Styela clava: one gene and its partners. The main gene of each other region encodes a partner of the protein of the gene in region 4 in a complex. Links are inferred from orthologs where the notes say so. Each region holds a gene or a part of one and is shown on either strand. Other genes may lie near its edges. The genes, in order: DNA-directed RNA polymerase I subunit RPA2-like; DNA-directed RNA polymerases I, II, and III subunit RPABC4-like; DNA-directed RNA polymerases I and III subunit RPAC1-like; nucleolar transcription factor 1-like.

Region 1 (8,303 bases), on a different chromosome or scaffold from region 4:
TCTGGGTCAGCCAGGTGAAACCGTATACCCCGTCCCCCTACCCATAGGCACCGTTCCTTTACACAACTTATTGTAAAGTAAGCGAACAAAATTAGTTACCTCTACATTGGTACACACACTTCTGGAGCGCGCAAGAATGTTATACGCTTTTATCAATTCTTTTCAATGACAAATGAGATACGTGCGTGGAGAGAAAGCCGATAAGTAAATGTAATCAAATGGAAAAAGACACTAACCCAGTCAAAAGACGTAACGGCGAGCGCCGATCTGTGTATGAGCATTATCCAAAACCTCATTTAATTAAAAAATCTTCAAAACATCCTTCCATAACAAACGATATGGCACTCAAATGTTAATCCCCATATAAAATTTGTGTTAGTGTCTGATCGAAATGGGTAAATCCGAATAATTTATCATATATATATAGTAAAAGTGGAATAACTAATTACATGCAAACAATCTTAATTTGAAAAAAAGGTACTCAAATGTTCAATCAGATAATTTGTAAAAATAGGGAATACTGCTGATAACGAACCTTTCGAGAACTTTAATTACATAGTTGATACCAAAATCCATAAATATTCGTTTGTCTATTCATAGTCGGTCTACATTCGAATTTTTACTATTGTATATTGTTCCGTCAGAAATTTTTAGGACAATGATTCGAATGTCAAAACCAATTATTAGGTTTGTATTTTCTTTAAAAAATTTACACCGATGCCAAAATAAATACATAGTTAAATTTATTCACAACAATAAATTTTTTTAGTGGACGGATATCAAAGATATGCCATGGAATTGAATATATTTTGCAGCTTACTAAATCACGCTTCGACGACCGGTGCATTGTACTCGGGAAAGGGCGTGCTATCAGTCTCCCTGATTGCCATATCCTGTTCGCATCCCATGTGTTAAGTGTCGGAGGATTGCTGGCCTTGCTTTTGTAGTTTGGCTCATATCACTGCTGGTCGGTTACGGATACATCTCTCACCATGACTATTCGTTTTGAAGAAAAAAACTGCGGACAGGGAACAAATTCTTTGTAATCCACAAACGAACTCATTTCAATGCATAAACACAAAAATTGATTTATTTCGTAACAATGGTTGTTGTACGGGCTTTTTTTTTGTAGCAAGTAGTGTAAGTAACGTGTTTCCCCGAAATTAAGACCTACCCTGAAAATAAGACTTATTCAATAACGCGAATATTTTTTTTGACCTAGTCGTTAGCATGAAATCTCTCCCACAAATGGTTTGAATGAATCAAACACGTTTGATATAATCTATGTTTGGCGGTTCTTTTGAATAAAAACGTGTTATTTATAAGGAAATATAATTTTGTAATTTCGATTTTGATAAATAAAAATATAAGACATTCCCCCAAAATGAGCCCTAGTGTTATTTTTCAAAAGAAAACTGTAAGTAAGGCCCAGTCTTATTTTCGGGGAAACACGGTAAGTGAAAGCACATGTTAGTTCGTGAGGTTCACTAGTCAAACGTTTTAACAAGTAGTTGTAATTAGCGCTTCAGTTCAGTTTGATATTCAAAATTTGGCATTAAAATGGCTGGAAAACGTAGAAAAGTTTGCGAAGAGGGCAAAGTGCTTGGACGGAAAATATTTCTTTGTTGAACATTATTCAAAACTTATCTGCTTCACCAGCATCGTAGTTACGATATGTACTGCGGATATCATCAAAGTTGCCAGTTGATTTTTTAACACTTTGGCCATCACACAGAATTAACATAATCCTTCACACTAATGAGGTAAACAAAAGCAATATAAATTTTGAATGATGATACCGAGAAAACAGCCACGTACACGTCTCAATGAGATTTGAGATATGCGTTAAACACATGAATAGAAGTTGCGGGTGCGGAATAAAGTTTTATGTGATTGTTTGTTTACAGGCGGAAACTAATGCGCCACGCATACTACCAGTAATGTGTATATTTGGCCCAGTAGTACTTCAAGTTTGCTGACCGCCGCTTCGGTATTCAGTATGTTCGTATGTTTCCCCGCTTTTTATTTTAGGAGAGGGAGTTCCAAATTTGGGTGGTGATAGATATTTATTTGACTGATCCTCTTCACCGGCATATAAGCCACTTCCTAAATATTCAAATACATTTTTATTTACGTTGAGAATTAAAGTAAGGTGTCACACCTGATATTTAGCGGAGTTGAAATTTGGGGGGTAGGGAAATCACTGCCGCCGCCCTACATAAACTGTCAACCAAACCGGAATTCTTGACTGTTACCATGGATTGCAATTTTGGGTAAAATATTGGATGTCACATGGCTCAGGAATTATAAAAAGAAGTACCGCTAATAGCATTCTATTGACATTTTGGAGAAAAGCGATAAAAAAGTCTGTAATTACCGGTATACAAAAAATAGAAGAATACGACGATTTTGAGGACAATGGAGTGAAACACAAAACAAAAGAAAGAAAAATACGGGTCGTTTACTTTTTAACATTACAGAGCTATTTTTTAAAAGCAATGTGAAAATAATTGAACCAATGAATGATCAATATTCAAAAATGAGAGTCAAGTGGAAGAACATGGCGCGGCGGTGTGGCTCAACGGGCTAAGCGTTAGGAATACGCTCGCCACCGCACCTCTAATTACTCTGCGTGGGTTCGCAGGTTCGAATCCCATGCAGGGATGGTTATGTGCGAGAGGATTGGTGGACTCCTCGCCGTCGTTGGGTGGTTCACGTAACCGCTGGTCGGTTACGGCTTCCTCCACCACCAAGTCCAACAAACAATACAGTAAAACTAATCCCATACCCGACTTGGAATGGTAACCGGACGAGAGGCCGTGGTTCGCCATATGGATAAGCCGTCTTATCGGCTTTCTTCTCCCCCGGGATAAATATGTAAATCCTATTCTATCCTAACATGCGTCAATCAATATAATTGAACTTATCATAAACATTAGATTAAGTTTAAGTCACTAAAATGCAACTACGGTACTACGGTATTTTCTATATTTAGGTTAGTGAACACGTAGCACTTCGAATTTAAATTCTGTGCGCTATGAATCCCATTTTGGGTTTTGTTTGCTCTCCTTATTCTATAATCAGTTTTCATTTATTTATTTTTATAAACAATTTTATCGTCTGTTGTGCCAATAACTTTGTTTCGTGTTATGGTTGTGCTAATGATGGAGTCGAAATAAACTACGCCGAACTATCCTGCATGTTGACCTGAGACATGAAAATCGCAGCCTACCTCTGTGATAAAAGTCGTTGGGAAGTACGTAGCTGCAGATGACAGATGCAGATGGACTGCCAACAGGGGATAAAATAAAACACTGGTTCATGAATGAACCAGGTATATGTGTTATGTGTGAATGTAATATTGAAGAGACTTTATGTCATTTATTTTTGGAATGTCAATGGGCTGTTGATTTCTGGCAATGGTGCTGCGTAGAAAATAATCGAATTACTATTTTAGCAAATGATTCGGAATGCAAATCTAAATTAATCACAATATTATGCGGAAAATCAACAATTTGGGAATATAGAAATTCAGTAAAATATGATGAAATAGTTAAAAGTAAAAGCAGTATGCGCTCAATATTCAAATGTAAACTGATAGGAGTTTTAAATTTAATGAAAACAAGTGAAAGAAATGATTTACTATTGTATGAACATATGGATGATCTCATACATAGGTCAATCATGATGTGACATGACATTGACATTTTCTATGCAACACCAACTTAAATGGATAGTACATGAAAAGATTCCAATGTCCAAATTTATGCATCATTTTGATTTAATTCATACATAGATAGTGAATAGAGAAATGCCAAAAAACCCACTTTGGCTGTTTTCTGATTTTCTGTCTAATTTTCTAATTTCCATGCAAAAACTAACTAAATCGATTAATTATTGGTAACTATATATAAAATGTGTGCACGAATTGGATGACGACTGATAATATGGATAAACCTATATTCAATGGATATAAATTGGACTATATATGATACAAAACTCCGGTAATGGTATGGTTTTATATTTTAATTGTTACATATATTATTGAACTTGTGGGCAATGTGTTTTGAAATTATGAAATTGTTTTAATTGGGTGCAAATTATACTAATTCGACAATAAAATTAATATACGAAAATTCCGTTTGGCATTGGAATTTATTTGGCAAAAAAAAAAAAAAAATGGAATTTATTTGGCAAAAAAAAAAAAAAAAGCTGCAGATGACATTAAAGCGGACAAAACCATAAGTAAGGTTTTAAACGTACACATGTTAGATTGAAAGGTGTTGTCGAAAGAAGTCAGGAAGTGGTAAGTTACGTCTGTACGTGCCCGCTCACCCAAAAGTATTACCGGTACCGGTAACCAACAAATGAATTATTGGAAGTCCCTGGATTATATGGAATATTATATCTGATGGAATTATCTTGATATTACTGATATACGGTATATGTTTGTTCACTTGCGGTACACAATATATCTTTATTTATATTTAATTTATTTATTATTTACATATTGAATAATCCACATTGTGGATCCATTTAAAAAAAAAAAAAAGTATTAATTTAAATAAAACACACACACACATACCTGCATACTGCAGTAGTCTACTGACTGTATTCTGTTGATCACTAACTGACAAAACTTATTACCGAATATAGGTCAGATATTTAGAAAAATTGGGTTGAACTGGGGTTAGTCGGGTCAGTACGATTAGTCTTAAATTTGACTTGAGAAACAAGGAAGCGAGAAATAGTAGAGCTGTCAGGCTGTACAGTTCCACATTCAGACCATACCGGTACTGCATTAAAATATAACTTAACTAGGCCTATAATTTATTTGACTGTTTATGCTCTAATGATTTCTGCTAGTAGCGTCGTTTAGAATTGTTCCAAAATTTATCAGACTTCAAAAATATTTATATCTTTTATCATTAGATTTAACATCATGTCTAGAATAAGTTTGGAATCCAAACTTCCATCAAGTACCACTCCATCTTTGAAGAATTTAACTGTGAAAGATTTTTCTAAACTTGGAGAAAGTCAAACGGAGGCTTTACAAGCTTTAACCAGACCTCATGTCGATTCTTTCAACTGGTTTTTAAATACTGGTATCAAATACTCGGCCAGACTTATTCCTCCCATTCAAGCTCTTGTCCAAAATCGTCGTTTCTCTGTTCAATTCGTGGATGCAACTATCGAGAAACCACGTGTTGATGAAGGGTTTCGTAATTGTCGAACATTAGCTGTATATCCATCAGAATGTCGACAGCGTGGGTCAACATATCACGCTAAACTTCACGCTACCTTTTCGTATTCTATTGATGGAATAAAACAAGCGAATATTCCTGTCATGCTTGGTGTTATTCCAATAATGGTGAAATCAAATTCATGCAATTTGAGTGGGTTAACTCCTAAACAATTAGTTGCAAAACAAGAAGAAGCAGAAGAAATGGGTGGATATTTTATTGTGAATGGAAACGAGAAAGTTCTCCGTATGTTAGTAATGCAAAGACGTAACTTTCCTCTTGGTGTTGTCAGACATTCATGGAAAAACAGAGGCCCGAACTATACAGAATTTGGCATTATGATGAGAAGCGTGTCTCCAGATTTGAATGTTGCCAATATGGTTGTTCACTACTTGCGAAATGGCACTGTAAACATTTGTATTTTTCATCGCAAAGAAATGTTCTACATTCCACTGATATTTATGCTTAAATGCCTCGTTGATAAATCTGATGTTGAAATATATAAAGAACTAACAAAAACCAAGGAAGATGACACATATTTCAAAACGTGCATTCAAAATATGCTCCGACAAGCAAAATCACTTAATCTACATTTGCATAAAGATTTCACAAAGTACGTTGGAGGAAAATTTCGTATTAAACTAAGTCAGCCGCCTTGGACAACCGACGCTGAAATAACGAAGTATTTATTGCAACACAACGTTCTTGTTCACTTGAAAAACAATGAAGATAAGTTTCATTTACTTTGTCACATGGCTCAAAAAGTATTCGATCTTGCTATGAAAAAATGTGTCCCAGATAATTTGGATTCGGTCCAAAACCAAGAGGTGCTTTTACCTGGCCATTTATATCAAATGGTTTTGCGTGAGAAAATGGTTCTATGGCTTCTTACTCTATCTAGGCTTATTGAAAAGCAATCTAAGCTGAGTAAAAATCAAGGTCTGTCAATGCTAACGTCATCTGCAATACAAAAAGCAATGAGATCTGTACCTGAAGTATCCAATGCTATGTCCTACCTTCTCGCTACTGGAAACGTCACAACAAAATCAGGTTTGGGTCTTCAGCAAACCACTGGACTAGCTGTCGTTGCAGACAAGCTCAATTTTATGCGCTACATATCACATTTTAGATGCTTACATAGAGGATCGTTTTTTGCGGAAATGCAAACTACTGAAGTCAGAAAATTACTCCCCGAATCATGGGGCTTTTTGTGTCCTGTACATACTCCCGATGGGTCTCCTTGTGGTTTAATGAATCATTTAGCGTACATGTGTGAAGTGGTGACAAATCGTACATCAAATGCTGCTATTGTACCGATGCTATATAATTTTGGTATGATAGGGCCAGATTCATGTCAAGTAAAAGGTCCTAATTATTACCCAGTTTTACTAGATGGGCTTTTAGTGGGATGGCTATCAAAAAAACTAGCGAAACCCGTAGCGGATATTTTGAGAACTAAGAAATCAAATGGGGAAGATAAAATACCGAACACCCTTGAAATTTGCCTGATTGAAAGAACTGAGAAAATATCACAATTTCCTGCTCTTTTCCTATTAACAGACGTAGCACGTATGGTCCGACCAGTGTTGAATTTAGAGACAGGAAACGTGGAAATGATCGGATCATTTGAACAGCCATACATGGATATTTGTATCATTCCTGAAGAAGCACATGAGCATACAACACATCAGGAACTTGTTCAAAATTCTACACTTAGTGCTGTAGCGAGCATGACACCGTATTCTGATTTCAATCAATCCCCCAGGAATATGTACCAATGTCAGATGGGTAAACAGACCATGGGAACACCATGTCAAGCGTTGTCTTACAGAGCTGATAATAAATTATACAGAATTCAAACTCCACAATCGCCTATGGTGCGACCATACATGTACGATCATTTTAAAATGGATAATTTTCCTTTTGGAACGAATGCAGTGGTTGCTGTCATCAGTTATACTGGATTTGATATGGAAGATGCCATGATCTTGAATAAAGCTAGTTTTGACCGTGGTTTTGCATATGGTTCTATTTATAAAGGTGATCTTATTGATTTGGTTAAAATAGTAAATGACATTTCAGTTAAAGTTACATTCGGAACTTTGCCATCTGATAAAATTTCTGCGGAATTGGTGAAGACTGGAAAATTAGGAGCTGATGGTTTACCAGCAGTTGGCCAAAAGCTTGTTTACGGAGATCCCTATTACAGCTACGTGAATGCCGGTACTAAAACATTTCATCTTCAAGTTTACAAAGGACAAGAAACAGCATATGTTGATAACATCAAGGTTTTGAGCAATAACATAGGAACAGGATTGTTCAAAAGGGTGTATATAATTTTACGAATAACACGCAACCCGATTATTGGAGATAAATTTGCAAGTCGTCACGGCCAGAAAGGTATCTGTTCCCAACTTTGGCCCGCTGAAAGCGTTCCTTTTACAGAATCTGGTTTATTTCCTGATATCATATTCAATCCCCATGGATTTCCATCTCGTATGACAATCGGAATGATGATAGAATCTATGGCTGGAAAAGCAGCGGCTATGCACGGTGAACCATATGATGCCACACCATTTTCATTTTCAGAAAACGATTCAGCTATTGACCATTTCGGTAAAACCTTACGAAAAGCAGGGTTCAATTATTACGGTACTGAAAGAATGTATAGTGGCGTTTCCGGCCTTGAACTAGAAGCGGATATATTTATTGGAATTGTTTATTATCAAAGACTGAGACATATGGTATCTGACAAATTTCAAGTTCGTACAACTGGCCCCGTTGATCAAATGACGCAACAGCCTGTACAAGGCCGAAAACGTGCTGGCGGAATCAGGTTTGGTGAAATGGAGAGAGATGCATTGGCCGCACATGGCTGTGCTATATTAAACTATGACAGGCTTTTATTATCATCGGATCAAACATGGGGCCATTTATGTGAGAAATGTGGCAGCATACTATCGCCTATTTTAGAGCGAGATTTGAACAAAGGCCGTCTTTATGGGCTCGGTCGCAAAACATGGAAATGTTTGACGTGTGGTTCATCAGATAATGTTGTTT
Region 2 (6,333 bases), about 4.5 Mb from region 4:
GAGTTGTGAGTTTAAAAGATTTTTGCAAGAAAAGGGTGTGTCTCACAGTAGAACAACTCCTTACAATCCTTCGGCGAATGGTCAAGTAGAAAGGTGCAATGGTACAATTTGGAAAGGAATAAAACTTGCTTTAATGTCAAAAGGTTTGCCAATTGAATGTTGGCAAGACGTTCTATTAGATGTTTTGCATTCCATCAGATCACTATTGTGTACTGCAACAAATGCAACACCACATGAACGGTTGTTCAATTTTGCAAGAAGATCTACCACAGGATATGCCGTTCCAACGTGGCTGACAAATTCTAAAATTGTTCTTCTCAAGAGACAGATTAGAAGAAACAAATCTGATCCATACGTCGATGAAGTGGAACTTCTAGATGCGAACAGACATTACGCTCATATTCGGTATTCAGATGGTAAAACCTCAACAGTATCAGCAAAGCATCTTGCACCGTGTGGTGATGGTACGTCGTTTGGAAGTGAAAATAATGGAAGTTCCTCCGATAATCAACATTCTCAATTACCTGTAAAGCAGGCTGATACAGCAGATTCCGACTATGTACCAAAAATATCGCATCCCGTTATCAACCAATCAGAAATTCAAGAAGGGGAAGAAAAGTCAAATATTCCTGGTGATGATGAAAAACGCGAAACATCCCCAATGAAGAAGATAGACACCCCGGCTCCTAGGCGTTCTACTAGAGAAAAACGTCCAATTGATCGTTTACATTACTATTAGTGAAATGTTTATTAAACTTTTGTTAAATAATCTTTTAGGAGGGGGAAATTGTGGTGTTAGTATTTCTTTACAGTGTAATTATCAGATAAACAATGTACTCTTGATTGCTCTGGTTCTGTCGTACTGCACACTTTACTGTTTGCGTGTTATTCTATTGTTTACAGTGTTAAGTTGTGGTAGTGGTGTTCTTATGTTTAATAAAGCCTAGAATCGGTATCCTGTTATAACAGGTGTGCATAGGTGGGATTCCAGAAAATGATTAGAATTGTTTGCAGAATAATAAATGACAGGACATGAAATATACATAAAACGATGGATTAATTTGGCAGGATATACCAAGAATAATATATACAAGTACACTATAATCTAATTGTAGGGCCAAAAGAGGCCAGTTACCAGCCATTGTAGCATGAACCGCAATTAAGGAGTGGAGGAATATATTTGAATGTAGCAAGTGAGTTTTATGATTGAAGAATAAAAAATTTATATAACAATTATATTAATGCAATTAAACAAGTTATGAATATCAATTTTAGACAAACCATGAATTATTGAATCGTCAAAAGTAAACTGGTTGTTATAATGAAATGGTATTGTGATTCACACTCAACAGTGCATGCTTTTTTAACTATAACATATGAGATTTAATATGAAATTCACAATATGAAATTTTGATTACACTCCACATCTAATTATTAAAATGAATTAGGAATACTGGATTGTATAATGAAATTCATTTAGGTTCTCACCTTCAGATTTACCCAGTTAGCCCAGGTCATTAACTACTGAAAAGCATAATAACCACATATTTAAAATTTACACATGTATGTGTACATCTCAGGAATGTCTAAGCCACTATGTAAATATATATGATGCCGTACATGAAGAGCATGTAGCAAGTATTGATAAATCTTGAACCCTGGTTTGGAAAAAAGAATAGAGTGAATAAATATCACAAAATGCTACAAAAATGTATCCTACATAATTCCAAGATCTAGCTAGGTTTCAAAACATATTGACTTGCAATTTGTTAGCCATATAGTTGGACTATACCATGACACATACAGGGTGGCCCAAAAGTAGGTATACAGTTATTAAATTAATAACTATGAACTATCAGGCACTAGTCATATGTGTAAATCCACTAAACCAATACATGGAGAACAAGTTAAAATAAGCATATTAGACACATGTCCACATCAGTATCCCATCGAAATTGGAGGACTTAAACTTTGCATTTAATATTTGGATATGATGTATTTCATGAACTCAAATTTAAATTTTTTGTACGAGAATGTTTTTAGAATGTCTGGGATATCATTCCAAATTTTAGGGCCTATGAATTTGTTCGTGAAATAAAAAATGCTCCCTTAGAAGCGGAACGAGTACCATAAGAATGCACAGAACTACATTCACTAAAATACAAGTCAAAGGCCTCTGGCAACATACTATGCCTGAATTGAAACATTAATTTAGCAATTTCATAGATATAAACATCATTCAATTTTAGGAGGTTCATACGCTTGTAAACGGGGCTCATACTATGATGCAATGGAGTATTGGTCATAACCCGAAGAGCTCTATTTTGTAATACAGTTATAGCATTAAGTCTAGTTTTATCAGCGGAACCCCATGCCACAATTTCATACTGTAAGTGCGAATAAAAGAGAGAAAAGTAAACAGTTCGCATGATTTTTTAGGAATTGAATTTTTTATCCTTGTCATTATTCCTACAGACCTAGATAGTTTCAATTTCAGGGAGTTGATGTGTCGGTCCCATTTAAGCTTGTTATCTATGAATATTCCAAGGTATTTAACTGCGTCATGCACGTTTAGTCTAACACCACTTAGAGTAAAATCAGGACAATGTGGATACTTGATATTTTTATTATAGGGATGATTTATTAGTAGTACCTGTGTTTTCTCAGGATTTATAGTTAACTTATTAGATTTCATCCAATTAGAAATATTTTGTAAGTTTATTTTGACTAGATTGGACAAATCAAAGATACTGGAAGATATTGACGTTATGTTTGTGTCATCAGCGAAAAGTTTGAATATTCCTGAACTACAATTTACTACATCATTTATATAAACAAGAAAAAGGGTTGGGCCGAGAACTGAGCCCTGGGGCACGCCAACAGAAACAAGTTCATGAGGTGATTCATTGGCAGAGACGGTGACAAATTGATTTCGACCGTGCAGGTAACTAGAAAATAGTTTACTCACAGTACCGCGGATCCCATAATGTTCCAACTGTGTCAAACGCCTTTTTTAAATCCAAAAATATACTACAGCCAACCAAACCCTTATCAACGATTTCATAATATTTACTAATTATATCTAAAATTGCATGTGTAGTCGAGTGATGATTTCGAAAGCCAAATTGATCGCTATTAATAATAGAGTGTTTATTAAGGAAATTTTGGAGGCGACTAAGCATCAACTTTTCGAAAACAATAGAGAGGCATGAAAGTATAGAGATGGGTCGATAATTGGATACATTATTTTTTTTTCCAGATTTATAAACGGGAACAACTCTGGCAACCTTAAGATGATCTGAAAATATACCAAAAGAAACAGAGTAATTGAAGAGTTTGCAGAGAACTGGACTAATTGTACTGCACAAAAGTTTCAGGAGATAAGCTGGAATATGGTCATACCCGGTTGCTTTGTTAGTTTTTAAAGAATTGATTATATTTACCACTTCATTCAATGAAGCATCTTCCATAAACATAGACAATTTGTTTGGAGCGCTCATGAATTTTAGATGCTCATTATCGCTCACATCGTGAAAAGCCAAAGACAACGTTTGCCCAATCTGTGAAAAATACCTATTGTACTCCAAGTCTGCAATTAATTTAACTCCTAGGAAGACAGAGTGATCATTGAATTATATGATTTTTTATTAAGTTTCCAAAACACAACTGAAAACTAACGAATAAACGCGAAAACGAGGTAATGTTAACAACTATGCTTGAAAATCTGTCTGAGTGAGAAAAGTGTCTGAGCGGATGCGAAAAGGGGGCATTGTTACGATTGGGAAACGCTGTTTTAGGGTCAAAGGTCGGTGAGCTGTAGGTACTCTCAAAGCAAAGTGACTATAAACTTTGCTTCAGTAATTCAGTTCAAAGTGAATATTATCACTTTCGGTGCCGATACCTTATGATGTGATCGCATCGTGTGTGCGATGTAGGCCAGATTCAGATTCAGATATTTATTTTCGTCATGCAAAAAACAATGCGCGATATGAAAAATGAATAAATAATATAATGTAACAAAATGTCAAATGGATATCGGCTTGTTGCAGTTGACGCGGAGTCGCGAAAAGACTCATAGAGTCATCTAGTCAGCGACACCTTGTAGCTGAAATTAAGCAGCAAATATAAGAAACGGGACACTCAATATTACACATTAACTTGATAAATTAACACGATCATACAAACAATGATACGGCGGTATCTATTTGTAGTCGATAATCAAGTCTTGTGGGGAATGTGTTTGAAATTATGAAACTGTTTAATTTGGTGCAACTTATACTACTGTACTAATTCGACTCTAAAATCTATTTACGAAATTTCCGTTTGGCATTGGAATTTATTTGGCGAGAAAAAGATAATCAAGTATCTTTTTATCACATTTCAGTTGTAGTCTATATACGGTACCGTATGTGGTATTGATTTGTTAAAAGAAAATGGACACACCATCAAGCTCCATAGCTGCCACACCATCAGGACGAACGCCAGGCAGGACCCCTGCACATGGTGAAGTTGTTCCCCATCAACCAAAAGCAATGATATATATTTGTGGAGGTGAACTAATTTTAACAAATTACAGCATTTTTGTATGTGACCATACTCATATCAGATAATTGTGTGTCTGCTTTTCGGTCAAGGCAACAGACATTCCAAACAATGTGGTGGGATCCAATAATTAGTTTCCCTTGGATGAATGACCATTTTAATCCAATGGCAATCTCAGAATCAAGGTTACCTTTCCACAACCTTTTGCTACTAAATTATTTTTTAGAATGTCATCAAGAAAATGAAATAAGGTCTCGTGATCCAATCCGATGTAGAGAATGCGGTTGCCGAATTATGTACAAGAAAAGAACAAAAAGAAGTAAGTGATATTGAATATCAAATATGATATTAAAGGCTCAATTTTATATTTTTTCATTATTTTGTTCAGTGGTGGTATTCGACTGCAGATGAGAAGTTTTGATGCACAACCATAATAACGTAAATCCATTGAAGATTTTTCTTGTGACAGTGAGGGGAAAAGACTTATAAATCGTTAACTTTCAAGACGTTTCTGTGATCTACCAAGTTCCCTGTTCCTTTGTAACTGGATTATTGTACTCCACTGCCTCACCACATGACTTTCTATTAAAAAATTTGTTCTCCAGAACATCAATAAACATTATATTGAATAAATGGCAAATGAACTTTTTTCTATTTTGACATGCAAGCTGTTTGAGATACATTGGCATCGTTAGACCTTTAGCATTCAATAGGACTTGTATGCAACTATGTTTTGAGAAATGTTCATACTTTGCATTATGGATATTCATTCAGTGGTTTGTAGCCAATATGCAAATGTTACCCCAGCGCAAGACGATGATGTATGGGTCTAGTGTAGGTTAGTACTACAAGTGCCTCTAGTGGGCTTGGCCAGTTTTGCATATGTTATTTCTAACCCCCACCGGACTACGTCATCCAAAAATTATAGCTTGCGCCGAAGTATAGCTAACGGCAACGATCTCTCTCATTTTGGGTTTGTTTGTTACGAGAAAATAGCTTGCTCGACTTCAGTTAATCGTCTGCGCGCTTTGGACAACCATCCGTATATTTTGGTGGGGTTCAGGAATGACCCCCCAAAAATGATTGACAAGTTCCAAATTATATTCTAAACATTTTGAGTAAGTTTGCGAAATGACTTGGCATTGCTGTAAGTACCATAACCCACTGGAACATATGTGTACATTTTTGTGTCCCTTGATTTAAGCTGTGACATGCATGTAGGACAATTTCATTGAAAACTCAATATAAGATCTTGGATGCTAATGCGTGTAAGCACAATTTCAAATTTGTAGTGCTACCTACTATTCATACAACCGCCTGTTGCTTTTAGTGCATTTTATTCACCATTAGTATTACAGTCAAGCTGGTATGAAATATAAGGTAGCTCTTAAATTTCTAAATCATTATCTAAACTAGTAAAAATTGTCTACTTGATTACTGTAATGGAGCATTTCATAAAAAGGAATGAAAACCAGATTTGTTCTGTTATTATAATGTACAGAATAGAAAAATATGACATATTCATTTCCTAGAGTCATTCTTCATGAAAGGAATATGCTGGGAATTGTTATATTGGGGAATGCTTTATTCTTCAGAACCAATGAAGTACCAAATTACCACTGATGCAGTGTAATAGATAAAAATACCCTAGTCAGAAACATTTTTTGCTTGCATAGCATCATGAAACTACAGCAAACTTAAGAGAAAATTTCTCAGTTTCTTCGGACATGTTTTGCAGATAACTGATGGGAAGAAATAATTAAACAGTATAATATTTAAGGTGTTGATACA
Region 3 (8,609 bases), on a different chromosome or scaffold from region 4:
TCCTTTTGATTTCCGAACGGTATCCATTTTAAATCTCGTGAATATACTTTATGGTTTAGGTACATATGATCTGGATCACTAACATCTTTGGGTGCTTTCGTATTGCGAGTACATTTCACCTTTAATTCGAATTCCAAGGTCGTTTCTGGTGTTTCGCAATCATCTCCTTCTGCTCTGTATTCAAATAACCTTGGATCGACCTTCAGAGGAATAAGGCCGAGTCTAGGAAATAAGAAATCAGTGTTGAGAAGGATAGATTACTTGGCTCAACCCGAGTTTCAAATTACCATTTTTCAAGACTAAAAGTCGAGTTATCTAAATGTGATGACGACTTAATATAAAGATTGATTATACTGGAGAATCGGATCAAATAACCAATGACTCAACTTGACTTGTAACTCTGAGTTTAGGGATTTCTATTCAATACTAATTGTGATATGTATATTTCATGAGCGAGATTTTAAACATTCCACATTTTTCGAGTATTATTCTAGTATCACTGTCTGAAATAAATGGGCAAAACATGTTACAAAGAAATCGACTCAAATTGGAAAAATTATAAAGCAACTGGAGGATTGAAGCGGTGTGATAACGATATGAACACCTTTGGTGTTTGCCCATATAAGAGTTCACAGATTCAAATCCAGATGGTAATGGTTATGTCCCAGTAAATGGGAGTACTACATTTAACTGTGTGATATTACTTTTTCTTAATTTGTGTGCAATTGATATTCACTAGTTGCAAAAATAATTATTCAGCTTTCCTCTCTACTTAATAAAGTAAATGCAAGATTGAAACGCTGTGATAACGATAGTAACACACTTGATATTTATCATGATAGGAGTTCGTAGATTCAAATCTAGACAATCATGGTCAGGGGCGCAGCCAGGATTTTTTCAAGGGGGGGGTTATGGTGAAATAAATACGCGTTTATAGGTCTTTAAAAAGATTTTCCGACGATGGCAAAACAACATGTGCGTCGCTGTGTCTCATTAGCCTTTCTTTGCATGTCCTACTTTCAGCAATCGCCGACCATTCTCTTTGGTCAAAAAAAATCAATCAACTTTTCATTTCAATGCGCCGTTAACTTTATTACTGAAAGTGAATTCGTCGCAAATTCAAATTCCTGTGATATTTGCACATAACGCTTCTCTACTTTTAGCGGCGATTTATCAACATATTATTACCAGTTTGTTAATAATGCATGCTATTACTTTTGGCAACAGGGTTAAATTGGTTTATCGTTGTTTCAAGCAAGAAAATAAGCATTTGTTTTTTTCGCTTATTCAGCAATCGTAATTCAAATATTTCCCTATGCGAAAGAAAGTCTTCACTCCGCGGGGTGTCATTGCGTTTTAGAGTTTCAAAGTGATGCCGAAAATGCCGATGATAGAGAAACACCGACACATGTGGCTATTTGTCGCCAGACCCTGCCCCCTTTGACAGGCGTCAATTCGTTTATTTTGTTTTGGCATGTCCCATTTCAACCTTTTAGTAATCGCCGATTATTACCCCATTGTCAACAGTTAAATAAAATGCCATCGTCATGATTTTAATTGAAATACCACAAAAAATGTAAAATAAGAATAGAATGAAATATTAGCAATCATGAAACATTAAGAAATAGCATAAATTAATGATATTTGCCAAATGCCAATGGTTCGTAAACTATTTTTGAGTGCGTCACGAAATATCAATCCATTTCCAAAATAAATATATTTGATGTTCCCGTATTTATAACTTCATAAAACGATTACAATCATTTAAAAACAAGCTCATGTATCGTACTGATTGGGAACGTCTTTCAATGTAAAACTCTTGCTTGTTGCAATTAACTGTTAATAAATTCTAATTTTTATTGCAATGCATCGAGACCTATATTACTGAAAGTGAAATCGTCGCGAATTTGAAATCCCGCGCCCGTGATAGCTGCATTCTGCGCATAGCGCTTCTTCACTTTCAGCGATAATTTAACTATAATAATTTAATTATAATTTAATAACATATTGTTACCAGTTTATTGAAAAGATCTGGAAGACAACGCATGTAACTGCTTTTCGCAGACAGACGATTCCAAACGAGTCTTGGACGAGTTTGCTACCCAAAAATCTCGAAGATTGAACATTATTCTTTAAAAAAAAATTTCCCGAAGATTGAACATTATATTACGATACTTTTTACTCGAAGATTGAACATTATTTTGCAATGCTTTGTTTTCGAGGATTGAATATTATTTTATGACACCTTTTTTCGATGCTGCCACATTTGGCAATCCTTTGTTAATGAACCATACATTTCCAATAATCCATTTTGTCTGTTATTTGCTTATGATCCTGGTGCCATCGCTTGTTAAAGATGCACTACATAACTAAAATTCGTAATTAGCGATAAGCCGATAACCATTGATAACGTATGTGATTAAAAGTATGGATGCGTTGAATGTGGCGAGGCGAGAGCGCGCTTGTGGAATAGTTTTGACGGCAATAGTGTGATACGTCCGTTGCTATTTGTGTCAAGTGAAAGGTAGTACAATTGTATCTAAAAATGTTTAGTGTAGATTGTCACTTCCGTGACCCCCCGCTGGCAACTAGATCCACTGCCGCGTAACAGCGAATACGAATCGTAAACATAAATAATAAATTAGGACGCTGGGCGAAAGTGATAACGCAAAGAATAAAATTATTGCAAGTAAACGTAACACTATTAAAAAAAAAAAAAGATTCCAAAGGGGGGGTTACGACCCATGTAACCTCCCCCCTGGCTGCGCCCCTGATCATGGTTATGACAAGTACCTAGGTAGGTGTACTTTCTCTTTATCTTGTAATTTGTGTGAAATCGAGTTTAAATGGCTAGAAAAATTAAACATAAATTGTACTTCTGAACTCAAGGTAGTGGTTAAAATAATTTTATCAACTTTCCTCTTCTCATTGATAAATGTGAAAAATCCCTTTTTAATTCAAAGTCATTAAAAATTCATGAATTACCTATGAGCAAGCACTTCATCCTGTATTATACTGGTGTTGTTGTAAATAAACGCTTTCTCGAACGCCATCGTTGGGACTTCAGCCAGGAGAATCCTTCGAAATGCATTCGCTATGGCAGCGTCAATCCCAATCATATCAAAAGTCATTTCATCTTCGTCACATTTCAAAATATTAATCCGAAAGTTTTTCATGAACTTTTCGCGGCTCCATGCGTCATCGTAGCCGACGTAACTCCCTGGGAAATCAGTTGTGTGGACATTTAATACTCCATGTTCCCCCATGGTGACTCTAGTCCGCATATCGTCAATGTGAGCCATGGTTATTTATAGCTATAGCAAGTATCTACAATCTAATTTAAATGAAAGCAGATTGCAGTTGATAATGTTAAGGCAACAAGTCAGTCAAAAAAGTATTGAGTTTTGAAATATCTCACAAACTTTTGGCAGAATGGTAACAGAAAATAATTCAATTTGAGTTCAAAAATACTGTGAATAAACTTGGCGAATACCCTCGCATATAGGCTGAGTTCGAAACTCAAAAAACAAAATATTTGCCAAACTAAGATGTCGGTTCATAGCGCATAACTCCTATACATGCACTCAAACGAATTCACATTATGCTAACTTAATTCCAACAGCTGCAACTCAAATTTGCTGTCGCAGGAGGAACTACAGCGTGTTATGATATGTAGGGTCAGCTTATATGTGAATTTTTATAAATTCACCTTTTAGGGGGGGGGGGGGGGGGGGGGGGGTCGATTTGTATGTACGATCGGCTTATATGCGAGAATATACGCATTCAAAAATAATATACCACTGATTGTAGAACAAGGTAAATGAAACAACAAAACAGATCAAAATATAGCAGAGAGAGGAGAATACGCAGAAATCCCAGCAACAGAATAAGATTAACAGTAATCACCCAAAATATGTCTCTACACTTTTTGCTGTCTAAAAGTTTTGATCAAAAAACAAAATATCTGCCAGCAAAATTGAAGAGTCAGTATAAAGACTGGATAATTGGTCCCAACTGCTACTTAAATGACCTACCTGAAAAAAGACTTCTGGGTTTGACTGGGTCTTCTGGGTCGTACTGGAGTATGATTTTATTTGATGATTATCCCACATACCACACCAAGGATAATTTTTTTTTCTCTACGACAATATCTAGACCAGTAATACTGCGTTTATGCAGCCATCGTTTTCAGGATTATTTGTAACCTGGGCGTATTTTCCCCAGATTACTTTCCCCCCTTGTGTTACCAATCCCAGTTCGCTCACATTAACTTCTATGACTGTTCCTTTTGTGATTACTCCAAGAGATGTGTACATAGCAGATGACGGATTCTTTTTTACTCCGATGACTGGTAAACAAAATGTAGCCTTCAGCTCAGGATGAGTGACATGTGCTTTTTTGAACCTAAGCGCCATTGGTCTGATGAATCTTTCGTATTTCGGCGGTTTTCTTGTAAAGTTATCAGGAACATAACAAACTTTTGTGCACATTCGTTTCCATGCTTTTTTCTTTCTTTTCCCTGTTGTAATTGTTCTGAAGACTTCCGCTTCGCTTTGTGCTCGTACTTTCGGGAGCGGAACAGACCATTTTCCCGCTTTTTCTTTACGTTTTTGCTTAATCATGTTAGATAAGACTTTTCCACGACTTTGGCTCTCTCTGTCGAGCAGATAAGCAGGAATAGCTCCCTCTGGTGTCTTTTCATCATCTTTCTGCTTGGTGTCCCGTTTTTCATGCATTTTGATCGTCTTTTTCATCATTATTTTTTCATTGCGTCTCTGTTTGTTGTACATCTTCGCTTTCAGTCCAATCAGTTTCTTTGCTTTAATCGCTCGTGTGTGAGCTTCCCTCCCTTCTTTCTTTCGTTTTCTTTCATGATAGTCGAGACGATAACCATGTCGCTTCCGATGAAGCTCAATATGCTCGTTCTGTGGCATTTTGCTGTGGTGATTGGAGTCAAATTATTGAGTTTAAAATAATTTCTGAAAAATAGGTTCGTTTTTATAATTTTATTACACTAAAGCAAATAATCAAAGAGTTGAAAATCAAAGCAGCCTTAGTGACATTACAAAAGTAATAATAACTAATATGTCCTAAAGACAAGCACAAAATAGAGAATGGTTCAGACAGTGTTAGTACGGTAATTATAAAAGCTGAAAACTAACACATTTAAACCGAGATATTATCAAGACAAGCAGAGCACATCCTGTTGCATCTGCCAACGCGCCAGACACTCTCGCCTCAGAGACAATAAGTATACCAACAATCGCCCAATCTGCGCTGACGATAAAGGACTCATTAACAGCAGCGATCTCTCTCATATCAAGATCATTACACTGAGGAAACGAGATGAATAGCATTCTCAGTTTGGGTGATCGTCTGCACACCTTAGATGACAGTTTGTATAGTTTGAAGGGCCTTATTACATCACTGTAACGTCGTAGTGACATAATTTTCGGATGACGCAGTCGGGTGGGCTAGGTTTGACATATGCAAAAATTGTTACCAAAGTTACGCCCACTAGAAGTACTTGAGGTACGAAACTACACTGGACCTCATAACTGTACAAAAGACAATCCTTAAGAATCAGCCAGTTTGCCTTTTGAAATGAATCTTAAAAATTCAATGATCCAAACAATTCAGTAATTATAAAAAAGTGAGAGAAAGACACATACGGTACTGTATTGGTTGAACTGTTTTAAACTGCTGAACTCAGAACCTGCTTATGTCTGTAAGGTACCGTACGGTACCGTATGCAGGTATGGGTTACTCCATTACCGGTATAAAGTCCACGCATCTGAAACAAATAACTGGCTAACTAATATCATACCACTGTACCAGGTCATACGATACGGTACACGGCATGGACTGGTAACCGGACGAGAGGTTGTAGTTCATCACATTAATAGGCTGTCTTATCGACTTTCCTCTTCTCGGGATAAATATGAAAATCTTATCATATCCTATCCAACAGCCAGACAATCCCATCTTCCTGTCTTCTGGAATTCTACTTTCAGACTTCACATGCTAACCAGTTTACTACAGTGAGCGGGCAAAAAGCTAAACTCGCTGTAAAAATATATGAATCACAATAAAGTCTGCCCACTCAAGTTTAAGATGAGATCACTTTCCTCGTTCTGTCGTTGCCAAATTTATGATAAACAGACATTTTAGAGAAAGAAAACCTCGCTACTCATGTAACGAGCGAAATTAGAAGACTTGATTTCGATGCCGAGAAAACGAGAGAATTAGAAAAGTAGTATTACGTCAGATGCGGCATGTTATTTGAGAGAATAATAAAAACAGCGGTTCAGAAATGGATTCATCATTAGCTCACCTGCGACTTTTGTGGCACTTACTGAATCGCCTAACTTACTGATCCGAGAGCAGAAACGAATTTTGAAAGGTTTGTACATATTGCCTGATGCTGTTACATTTGGAAAGCTATGAATATACGCTAATTGTTGCCAAACTTGCCGCCGCTTTTCTGTTGTTTTGGAGCCAAACAACACCCACCCGAACGACCCCCTCACTAAAGCGCAAACCAGCAATACTCGTGACGAAGATTTTTCTCACAATGAAAGTTTTTTCAAGGTTTCTAAACGGTACTCCCACAGTGTGTGTACCAAGTTAGGCCATAATTTCATTCTGATTTTCCTTATAGGACACGTTTAGTGGACATAACGATCGTTTCAATATTATGTTGTAATTGTTATTTGTCTCCATCATTTTTAAAAAATCGCTTTTCTCTTCGAATACTGGACCAATTGCTTTGAAATTTTCAGTTAAAGATAAAAATTTTCTCCAGAAGGCTATTACTTTTTTTTCGCTATGACTTCATCAAAATTATTGCCATTGGGTGGCGCTACGTGTCCATATATTTGAGCATAGCTCTCTTGTTTTAGTTTTATTGAGATTTCGGGGACTGTCTATTTTAGCCCATAGGTTTCATTCCTTTTACAGTTTACACAACTTGATGTAAAGTAGGCGAACAAAATTAGTTACCACCATATTGGTACACATACTTCTGGAGCGCCTTCTTAACTACATTTCCAAGAGAGTCTTCCTGGCCAATAAGTCACTACAACCCCCAAAATGTATCACAGTGCAATATATATTTGCATTAAGATACTTCACAGCAGTTTTGCTAAAAAAAAACTAAAACAGTGATAGAAAAGATCTCACAAGGTTATATAAATCAAAGACGATGTGGTCGTTACAAATATTACGTTAATCAGAAACCAACGAATATAGACATGAATTTTTCTATTCACAGTTCATGATCACAAAACTCCAGAAAAAAATAAAGCATAATATATGCCACTAAGTAGCCTACTGTACAAGCAAAACGAACAGTTGAACACATTTGCATATCAGCAGTGAACAACAAAGTTACGTTACAAAGACCGTTTTATATATATAAACAATTTGAAGTAAGAATCGGTTGATCGAAGATCTGCATGTATTAGTACATGTCGCAGTAAGAATCGGTTGATCGAAGATCTGCATGTATTAGTACATGTTGCAATCAGTGGTGAGATTCAATTTTTTTGTCAGCCGGTTCCATCACAGAAGTCATATTTTCACCCGGTTCTGTTACAACAAGTCATTGACAGTAACCAGCAATGCTAACCTGTTCGCTGATCTCATAAAACTTCGTGAGACGGTTCTGTAGAACCGGTTCAAACCGGCTGAATCCCACCACTGGTTGCAATGTATAAGCCACTCACAAGTCTGTTAGTAATACATAAACAGAATAGGGGCGTAGCAAGGAATTTACAAAAGAAGGGGGAGGGGGGTCTGAAAATTCTAAATGCGAAGTCAGACCGTAACATCTAGCGGATCCGGGTCTTGAGTGTCCAAAAGGCGTTACAAGCTAAGAAAAAGCACTATGTATGATAGAAAAAAATGCTTTTTTCACATTTCAGAAAGAAAGGGGGGTACGACCCGCAACTCCACCTGGGTACGACCGTGATACAGAACAAAGGGTCATTCAAGGTCATTTTTGATTCTTGACAACTAGGCTAGTTTCTGATCAATTCTTTCATATCTCGTCTTCGTTAAAATTTGTGTTTCAACGTTCATCCCCTGAGTATAATTAAACGTGCGTCTTCTCTTCAACATCTTCTTCATTATTTTTCAGAGTTTCTTTTTCTTCGATATGAAAAATTATAAAAGAAATATTATAATGAGTAAGGTGACCTACTTTTAAGAATATTTTCATACGCACATAACTGCGAACAAGTCTTTTGCGATGTCATACCCTAAAAGACCAAAAGCTACAGATCTGACGACACATATCATATATTTCAATATGAAATTCAGAAAATTCAGAAACTAGGAGACATCGGCGTAGCCGGAAATTTTCGAATGAAGAGGGGGGTTCTGAAATTTCTAATTGCAAAGTCAGACCATAACAGCTAACGGATCCAAGTGAGTTTTCAAGAGTCTCGAGGGTCTAAAAGCGTTCCACGCTAAGAAAAATTGCTATGTATTATACAGAAAAATGCTTTATCCTATTTTAAAATAGGGACCCCGAGTCTACCCCCCTGCTAGAAGTTACGTGGAAGCTATATAACCTAATTAGAACTAGAAATGGCAAAAAAAATACA
Region 4 (8,056 bases):
TTCGTTTAGCACAAATGCTTCTTTATCTCAATTCAGGTTACCAGCGGCACAACCAACATCACGCAATATACCACCTCCACCACCAGGGTTAGCTGGAATTCAGCCTGCTAATAATTTGAGGGGTTGGCCATCAAGTAACCCCCACAACCTATCAGGTAAGTGCTAGTTTTATCAGATCTTCGTTTTTGTCTATTGTCTATATACTTGTGACTGTTTCATCACAATGCTTTGAAATTATTGAAAGTGGGAGGAAATGATGACTTTGATAAGCAAGACAAAAATGAGTTTGAAATAAAGAGTGAGTAATGATAATGAGTTTGAAAAACTTCCCTATTTGGCAATATGAGAAATACTTGTGCGGAAGGTCGCCCTGTTAATTAGAAAGAAAATTGGATAATAAGAGGTAGACCAAATAACCAATCGTGATGTTATTCGGCAGTTGCCTATTGCCCTTGATGGGCTCTCACTGAACAACTTTCAGGTCAGCTGTCTGTTTGATTGAGGCTTGCAGAATTGGATTCAAGATTTTTTTCAACCTAAAAATAGCAGCTGACCTTTTTTGCAACAAAATCTCTTGTATCCACTACAGGGTGACCCAAAAAAAAAAACCCATCAATTTATGAAAATGAAGAAATTTTTAATACTTTTCTGATGATGTATGATTGTGCCCAAAAGTTTCAGCAGTTGATGATGTTTCGCACAAAAGTTATGTTCTCTCTAAAACAGGGGTTGGTTGATTACGGTCCATCGAAGTGTTTCATCCGGTCTGCTGAAATTATGACAATAGTTTTTATGGATATAAATTTCCGTTGAAAATATTGATAAAAATAAAGTCATGATGATCCCGATTGTTACATTGTGCTTCTTATTGTTATATGAGCGTCATTACGTCAGCTTAGCTGATGGACTGGTTGTTGTAAATAAGCTCTTTTTTTATTCATAGTTTTTTGTATTGAGTTTAGAGCTTCTAGCCCAGTAACCAAGTCTATCATCGGTACCTGGCCCACTCAAAAAAGAAATTGCCCACTCCTGCTCTAGAATATGTTCCAAATGACCTTGTACTTACTGTTTTATTTGGGTGACCCTGATCATGTCCCATTCCAAATACTTACACATTTTTAGAACTTCTCATTTGTATATTACAGACAGCATGCCTATTAAAAGTACAAATGATTGGGAAGCAATATTTGGATTCAAATCATCTGCAAAAGAAGTTCTTCCATCAGCAGATGACGATCTAGGATTCGATCCATGGGTTGAATGTAGCAAAGGGTTGGCTGATTTGATGGAAAAAGAAAAGACGCAAGAGACTGGAGCTGTTCATATTAACAATGTAAGAAGAAATGTGCAAGAACTTGGATTTGTATTTTTATGATTTAGATTTATAATTTAGATTTTAAATTTTTCAATTAATGATCCACTTTTCAAAAAAAATTATGATTTATGCTCATATTTGGCAAATTGGAAAGAACTGCTGATCGGATTCTTAGAGCAGCAATTTTTCAGAATTACTAATTTTTGCCTATTTTAGCCCAGTAGCAAATGAGGCATTAAACTAATTGAAAAATTATAGGCACTCGACAAATTACTGAATAACACAACATCATACTGAAAATAAGAATCAGTATCAAGAACATTCTTTTAACTTCCTACTACGTGGTTGTGTGTCTATAACCTTGTGCAAACTCCAAAGACGAATGAAATCGAATTGAAAAAATCGGAATGAATCGAAAAATAGAATTGAAATTATGTTCAATATTTAAAATTTTTGATATTCTGAATAATATATCCTAGTTAAAATTCGAAAAATGATCATTTTTAGCAACGAATATTTCACAGTATAAATGAGTATAAATAAGTAAGTATAAATTTTTTAAATTTATATTTGATACATTTTACTAATTACATACTATTTCAGAATGTATTTAGAATAGAAGATCATTCGTTTTTGGCCACCCATGGACTAACCATAAAAAAGTTCATTTTCGTCAATTTAAATCTAATAAACTAAAGTTGTTTTCTTGTTTATAGATTCCATATTCAACCAATACCTTTCCATTTAATTCAAACCCAACGTTTTCCGATATATCTGCAACACAAAGAAGACCAACATCTTTACATAATCCCAACCATTCGGGTGTACATCAGGTAAAATGTTTTTTTTTTTTTCGAATCTCGTTTTTCGATCTAGAAGCATATTTGAAGCTTGATATACATTTTTGTTTTATTCATTTTATAGGCTGGATTTCCTGGCGGGAATGATCTCATTAATGGATTTTCCAATCTTATGATGCATGGAACATCCCAGCATTCTCAACAGCACAAAATGCCTTTCCAATACGATAATTTACAACAACGTCAGTTCGAGCAAAATCGATACAATCAACAACAAAAAGTTTCCAATCCCTTCCAACAAATCGATCCATCAGATAAGAACAATTTTTGGGATCTGCGAACTATCAAAAGCAGGGTTTTATAAACCATGGGGGCCCACCTACTCCGAACAAAGATCAAATGAATAAAAATCCTGCAAATATTACAGATTGGCAAAATGGACTAAGGGCTTTGCTGCCGAGCGTAAATATCAATTTTGCAACTCAAGGACAAATTCAGAGACCTAACTCAAGGCCTGTCGATAATTCCTCTTTAGGTTTATCCAGCTTAGGTATGCCAGCAGAACATAACAAACATATTAATATTCCTCACCCACCAGGGATTTCAAGCTCTGGTATGAATCCCCATCCCCCTTTCAACAAATCTAATATCATGCCCCCACCTGGGGTGGGTTTTCCTGGCAGGTCATCTTCTTTTATGCCATCAAGACAGCAATGGGGTGGCCCTGAATCTTCCATGTCCACACCTGGAATGTCCTCGAACAGACTTGTTAGCCCTGCTAGTTTGCAGTCCTTATTTGCTGGTGGAAACCGCTCTGAATCTAATCCTATGCCTGGTGGTACAATGCCATCCTACCCACCCGATCCTGCCATAATTCAAGGAGGCGTGCCAGGTTACGGACCCACAATGAGGCGTAATAGACTATTTGAAAATCCACAAAACAAATCTTCGCACAATAATAACGAGGATCAGCCACATTGGATGAAATCGCTGCAAGCTTTAACTGAGCCCGACAGTCCAATCCACCCTATCCCACCTTCGAATAACTCTAATATGAACCAACTTTTTTCACAGCGCCCAACAAACAGTGGTATGCCCTCGTGGCCTGGGATGCCTGGCTTATTTTCTAATTCAGGTTTTGTGCCTTCACAGCCACCTCCTGGATTTCAAGTCAGGCCTTCTCTATCAAAACCCACAGAGTTTGGTATGATTCACAGCTTATTGGAAAATCAGTCATAGGGTTGGATTTCTTTTGAACGATATTATCAAATAAAGTAATTTATATATTTGTTGGAATTTCTCTTACCATAATTCAAATAAATGCGGTTTGTTTTTTCGATCCGATCACTGATCTCTGACAAAAATGGTACACATGGTAAAATGGACAACACAATATTTGAAAAATTGTTGCAATTTTAATTTCTTGAAAACGTGATAAAAAAAATGTGGATGATTTCCACTGGTATTCTTGTGGCTTGGTGAATTTTGGTAGTCGTGACAATTTTATCGTAAATATTCAGAACATTGAAGAGCACTTTCTGGTGACTTCTGGTTTCATTTAAGTGTTACTTCTTTTTCTTGGCCAAACTTGATGGTGCTGGCATGATGTTCTTATTTGTCTGTTTTCCGCTTTATTTCAACTCAATGGTCAATAAAGATATGGATTTTTTCGCTTTTTATATGCTATTTTGTTTTGATTTGTGACTGATGTTCTTGGGCTCATGATGTGAAAGACTATTTACTTATTGGCTTGGTAGGTACTTTTTATTAATTAGGTTGCAGTCCGTGATAACTATCAGATATTGTCTAACATCGACTTTTCACAGACCTCCAATTTTATAAATTGCAGCTAGTGCTAGAACTTCAATTGAAGTTTAACCATCTGGTATATTTTGCTATGGTTTATGTGGCAGAAACGTCCCTGGGATTTTCGTTACGTAACCGCTGGTCGGTTACGGCTTCCTCCACCACTAAGTCCATGCTTCCGAAAGCAAACAATATAACTAATCCCATACCAGACTTGGAATGGTAACCGGACGAGAGGCCGTGGTTCGCCATATGGATGAGCCGTCTTAGCGGCTTTCCTCTCCCCCGGGATAAATATGTAAATCCTAACCTTAGAAGCTATGATCAAATTATGCATGGACTTTATGCATACTTACATATTTTGCCACTCCATATTACTTTTACTCATTATACCGTTAGTTTGATTCATAAAGCCCAAAGTAGGTGCTTTTAGTCTTCCGAGTGCGTTCAAAGCCAGTTTCAGTATTATGTTAATTATGGTTTATACGTGGGCAGATAAAAATTATAATCGTTGGCTATACCATGTCTGGTACGTATCCTACTAGGCTGAAGAAGACTCATTTTCAGAAATTGTGTGCGACCTGTTCAGACCCCCAAGACCCTAACAAAATGAAGACAGTCCGAGGGCTTCAGTTAACCCAAAAAGCCGAAACTGCAGGTTTGTAACAATTGCTTTGAGGAAAACACATATTTATGACTTGAAACATCTGCAACTTGAAATACTCAAATGAATACGGCTTCAAACTATGATTATAAAGGCAGCTTTTGCGCTTTATTTCAAAATTCCAACATTCTCCCTTTTGTTTTGAATTCCAAGAGTCGCTGCCGCCGAAGAAAGTCGATGTTTTCGGCGACTCGCAGTGCTTTTTTCGGCTGATGTCTCTCGAAATGCCGAGATAGATACACCGGGAAAAATACAGACAAGCGGCCTGAAATCGAGCGTTCTGATTGGGCGTCGCTATCGATTTGCGTGAGCCCGTCTGTCTGGCGTGGCGTATTGCAGTTTCAAAGCGTTAGTACAGAATTACGAGGAGGGCGTGTGCAACCAGTTCAGATCGCACGATAGTTTGAGCTCACAGAATCAAATTAGCAGACGATTAAAAACGACCACTGGAATTCGGAAATACAGCAATAAACTAGGCCACGGTACTTCTGTCGACATCAAATATAAAAGACAACCCAGACCAGAAGACTGCAGCGACTCGTAAAACTGCAAAAACACGCACGATATCGGCGAAAAACTGAAGGTAAGATGCGTTTTCATCATGCATTAGTACTAATAAAGTTTACTCAGACATCGCGACTTTAAAAGTAAGGTACTGGTATGTGTTTTACAATGAATGTACCCTTGTGAGATAAATTTTGAACAACATCTTGCTAACTGAACTGGTCAATTCGTGGTCTCGTTAAACGAGATAGCGAGGTAAACTTTGCAATCGAGGTCCGCCATATTTCTCTCGCGTTTCGCAGAGAAAGAAGGCATTTTCATCATAGTTCATTTCAACCATCAGAGCGCGAAATTTCAATCATGGTAAGCGCGAGACCACCCTATTAGAAAAATACATGGTGTCCGAAAAATTTCCCGCGAATTTATAGTAATAGCAATTAATTTTTTTTGTTTTTGACTTCATAAAATAAAATTTTTAATTCTAACTCACAATTGTTATTACTATAAAATCCGGTGAAATTCTTAATTGTTTTTACTCAGTTACTATAAAATCCGGCGAAATATTTTGGACACCCTGTATAATATATAATTTATCAACTTTCACATTAAAGCATCCCAATTTCCAAGTACAAAATAATCCTTTTTCAATCTTAATCATTGTTGTAAACTTCACATGTATTCTTGTAACATGCTATAACCTCAATGGTATAAATAACGCTAACCATGTTCGTTCCAAATCCAATTGGTTGCTCATTTTTCATGCAAATTATCCATTTGACTGTTTTAAATAATTCAGAACTATGAGTGCAAGTGTCTAATAATGTTTTTATTTTTTAGAGCATTTGTCAACATTGGGAACTTCAGATTGATATTCTGATTTGAATATGAAAGGGGCAACTAAAAACAATTGTATTGGTAAATCAACATATTGTTATCAACTCAAATCATGTCTTGTGTAGTTTCGTACCGCATGTACTTCTAGTAGACGCGGCATAACAATTTTTGCACATGTCAATCCTAACCCCTACCTGACTTCGCCATCCAAATATTATGTCTCTTTTTAAATGAGGATGGATGTTGAAACTTCAAAGTAATCTGTAAAGTAAAATATTACAAATGAATAGGTGATCTTTAAACTACTGTTAAATCATAGTTTGAAGGAATGTTGAAGTATTTCAATAAAAACTTACAGAAATTTAAAATTCATGGAAATGACATTAATATTTACAATTTTGCAGGGAGTGAGGATGGATGGACAGATGCCACAACAAAAGAACTTTTAAATAAAATGAAGCAGGTATATTAGGAGATATTATAGTAGATCAATTTTTTTATTGATAAATGAAAAATTATTATTTATATGTTTAATAAAATTCATTGGATGCCATGAACAGATCCATCACATTTTCAGTTATCAACTAATATATATCAATGCCAATTTGCTGTAATCATGAATCTTCAATTAAGTTTCTTATTTTAGGCTATTCCGAATCCAGATGTTTCTAAATATAAAACGATGTTAGAAAAATTTGAATGGGACAAAGTAAAGATGGGTCGTTTCTCAGCTGAAGATTGTAAGAAACAATGGTTCAGAGTTTATAAGAAGGTTTGTTCAAGTATAATTCTTGTTTTTGTATCTTTTTACCAAGTGCACAATTGGTCAGCATGATATGGTGGGAGGTATTTGTTGACACTGAATTCCACCACCCACATGGGTTTAGGAGCAGTTAAACCAGGGGTGTGCAACATGTGGCCCGCAGGCCCGAACCCAGCTCATCAAGCAGTTGGTGTGGCCCGTGTATTCGCCCCCCACTCATCAAGCATAAAATCCCAATCCCACAGTGCATGTTTAAAAAGACGTTCACATGGGTAAAAATATGTGTATTGATATTTGCTCTTGTCGCTGCCCTAAATCTTTCGCCGTTTTGCCCGGTGACTTTATTACTGGAAGGCTAAGCAATGGCCGTATTCTCTTTGCTTTCTGGTTGCAGCTAATTTTCCAATTCATTGTGTGCATAGAAAAACTTATTTGTTTATGTGGCTCAGCTAGATGTCTGAAGTTAGTTTTATGGCCCACCAAAGTAACTTTATCGCCTTTCCCTCTCGTGTGGGATAAATATTAAATATGCTATTACTACCTATCGCCACTGTTGAAAGTATGTTATATACACAGAACACAGTATCTGAGAATTTTCAGTTGCCTTGGACCTTGGTTTGTCTGGGATTGACTTGCTATTGTTAATATTTTATATTATTTTCACATTCAGCTGAGAAAGTTCAAAACTCTGTCAGACTTAATAGTGGATTCTCTCGATTATATTGAGGTAAGTAAAATAAAGTTGCCAATAAAACCTGAATACATGTCGTAGTTATGCTACACCCAATACGAAAAGTAATAAAATGCTTGCTTTTTAATTTATATAAGATGATTGATAAATTTACTGTTAACTTACTGTTTTTTAAACATTGTGTCGTGAAGTCTTCAGCGTTATATGTTGAGGTTGTTTACACAACAGTTATATATGTATTCACTCTGACTTAAGCTCTGAACAAGTATCTACAGATATGTACGATGCTACTGTTTCATATGGACCTGTGTTTATCTGGTGCAGCATTGTCAACCCAATTTATTATGCCCTCTCTAAGCTGGTGGGTATGGGACTTGAAACCAGATTTTTACCTACAGGTCAACGTGGTGAGTCTTACCCAGGGGTGGGCAAATTACGACTATAGTTTTTATGGATATAAATTTCCATTAAATATATAGATGAAAATAACGTCATAATGACCCCGATTGTTACATTGTGCTTATTATTATATACACGATAGCCTAGCTGTAGGGTGTTGGACTTCCTTTTGTAATTAAACTGTTTTTTTTTCATAATTTTTCATATTGAGTTCTGAGCCACCAGCCAAGTAACCAAGTCTATTATGTGTAACTGGCCCGCTCAGTAAAATTAATTGCCC

The links.
Region 1: nucleolar transcription factor 1-like (region 4) and DNA-directed RNA polymerase I subunit RPA2-like share a complex: the UniProt entries of both Homo sapiens proteins name them as parts of the pol I pre-initiation complex. The link is inferred for Styela clava from reciprocal best matches to the Homo sapiens genes UBTF and POLR1B.
Region 2: nucleolar transcription factor 1-like (region 4) and DNA-directed RNA polymerases I, II, and III subunit RPABC4-like share a complex: the UniProt entries of both Homo sapiens proteins name them as parts of the pol I pre-initiation complex. The link is inferred for Styela clava from reciprocal best matches to the Homo sapiens genes UBTF and POLR2K.
Region 3: nucleolar transcription factor 1-like (region 4) and DNA-directed RNA polymerases I and III subunit RPAC1-like share a complex: the UniProt entries of both Homo sapiens proteins name them as parts of the pol I pre-initiation complex. The link is inferred for Styela clava from reciprocal best matches to the Homo sapiens genes UBTF and POLR1C.

The regions. Positions count from the first base shown.
Region 1 is NC_135261.1:7,951,309-7,959,611, forward strand, and holds the start of DNA-directed RNA polymerase I subunit RPA2-like, read left to right. Parts: upstream 1-4,932; 5' UTR 4,933-4,942; coding exon 4,943-8,303. UniProt on the Homo sapiens protein: Catalytic core component of RNA polymerase I (Pol I), a DNA-dependent RNA polymerase which synthesizes ribosomal RNA precursors using the four ribonucleoside triphosphates as substrates.
Region 2 is NC_135255.1:11,192,510-11,198,842, reverse strand, and holds DNA-directed RNA polymerases I, II, and III subunit RPABC4-like, read left to right. Parts: upstream 1-4,363; 5' UTR 4,364-4,433; coding exon 4,434-4,551; intron 4,552-4,768; coding exon 4,769-4,861; intron 4,862-4,930; coding exon 4,931-4,953; 3' UTR 4,954-5,196; downstream 5,197-6,333. UniProt on the Homo sapiens protein: DNA-dependent RNA polymerase catalyzes the transcription of DNA into RNA using the four ribonucleoside triphosphates as substrates.
Region 3 is NC_135263.1:3,694,657-3,703,265, forward strand, and holds the start of DNA-directed RNA polymerases I and III subunit RPAC1-like, read right to left. Parts: upstream 3,335-8,609; 5' UTR 3,303-3,334; coding exon 2,986-3,302; intron 223-2,985; coding exon 1-222. Other genes in the region: ribosome biogenesis protein NSA2 homolog, read right to left, coding at 4,152-4,934; uncharacterized protein LOC120341273, read right to left, coding at 8,096-8,151. UniProt on the Homo sapiens protein: DNA-dependent RNA polymerase catalyzes the transcription of DNA into RNA using the four ribonucleoside triphosphates as substrates.
Region 4 is NC_135255.1:6,648,962-6,657,017, reverse strand, and holds the start of nucleolar transcription factor 1-like, read left to right. Parts: upstream 1-4,764; 5' UTR 4,765-5,168; intron 5,169-5,926; 5' UTR 5,927-5,973; coding exon 5,974-6,004; intron 6,005-6,327; coding exon 6,328-6,386; intron 6,387-6,569; coding exon 6,570-6,695; intron 6,696-7,356; coding exon 7,357-7,413; intron 7,414-8,056. UniProt on the Homo sapiens protein: Recognizes the ribosomal RNA gene promoter and activates transcription mediated by RNA polymerase I (Pol I) through cooperative interactions with the transcription factor SL1/TIF-IB complex.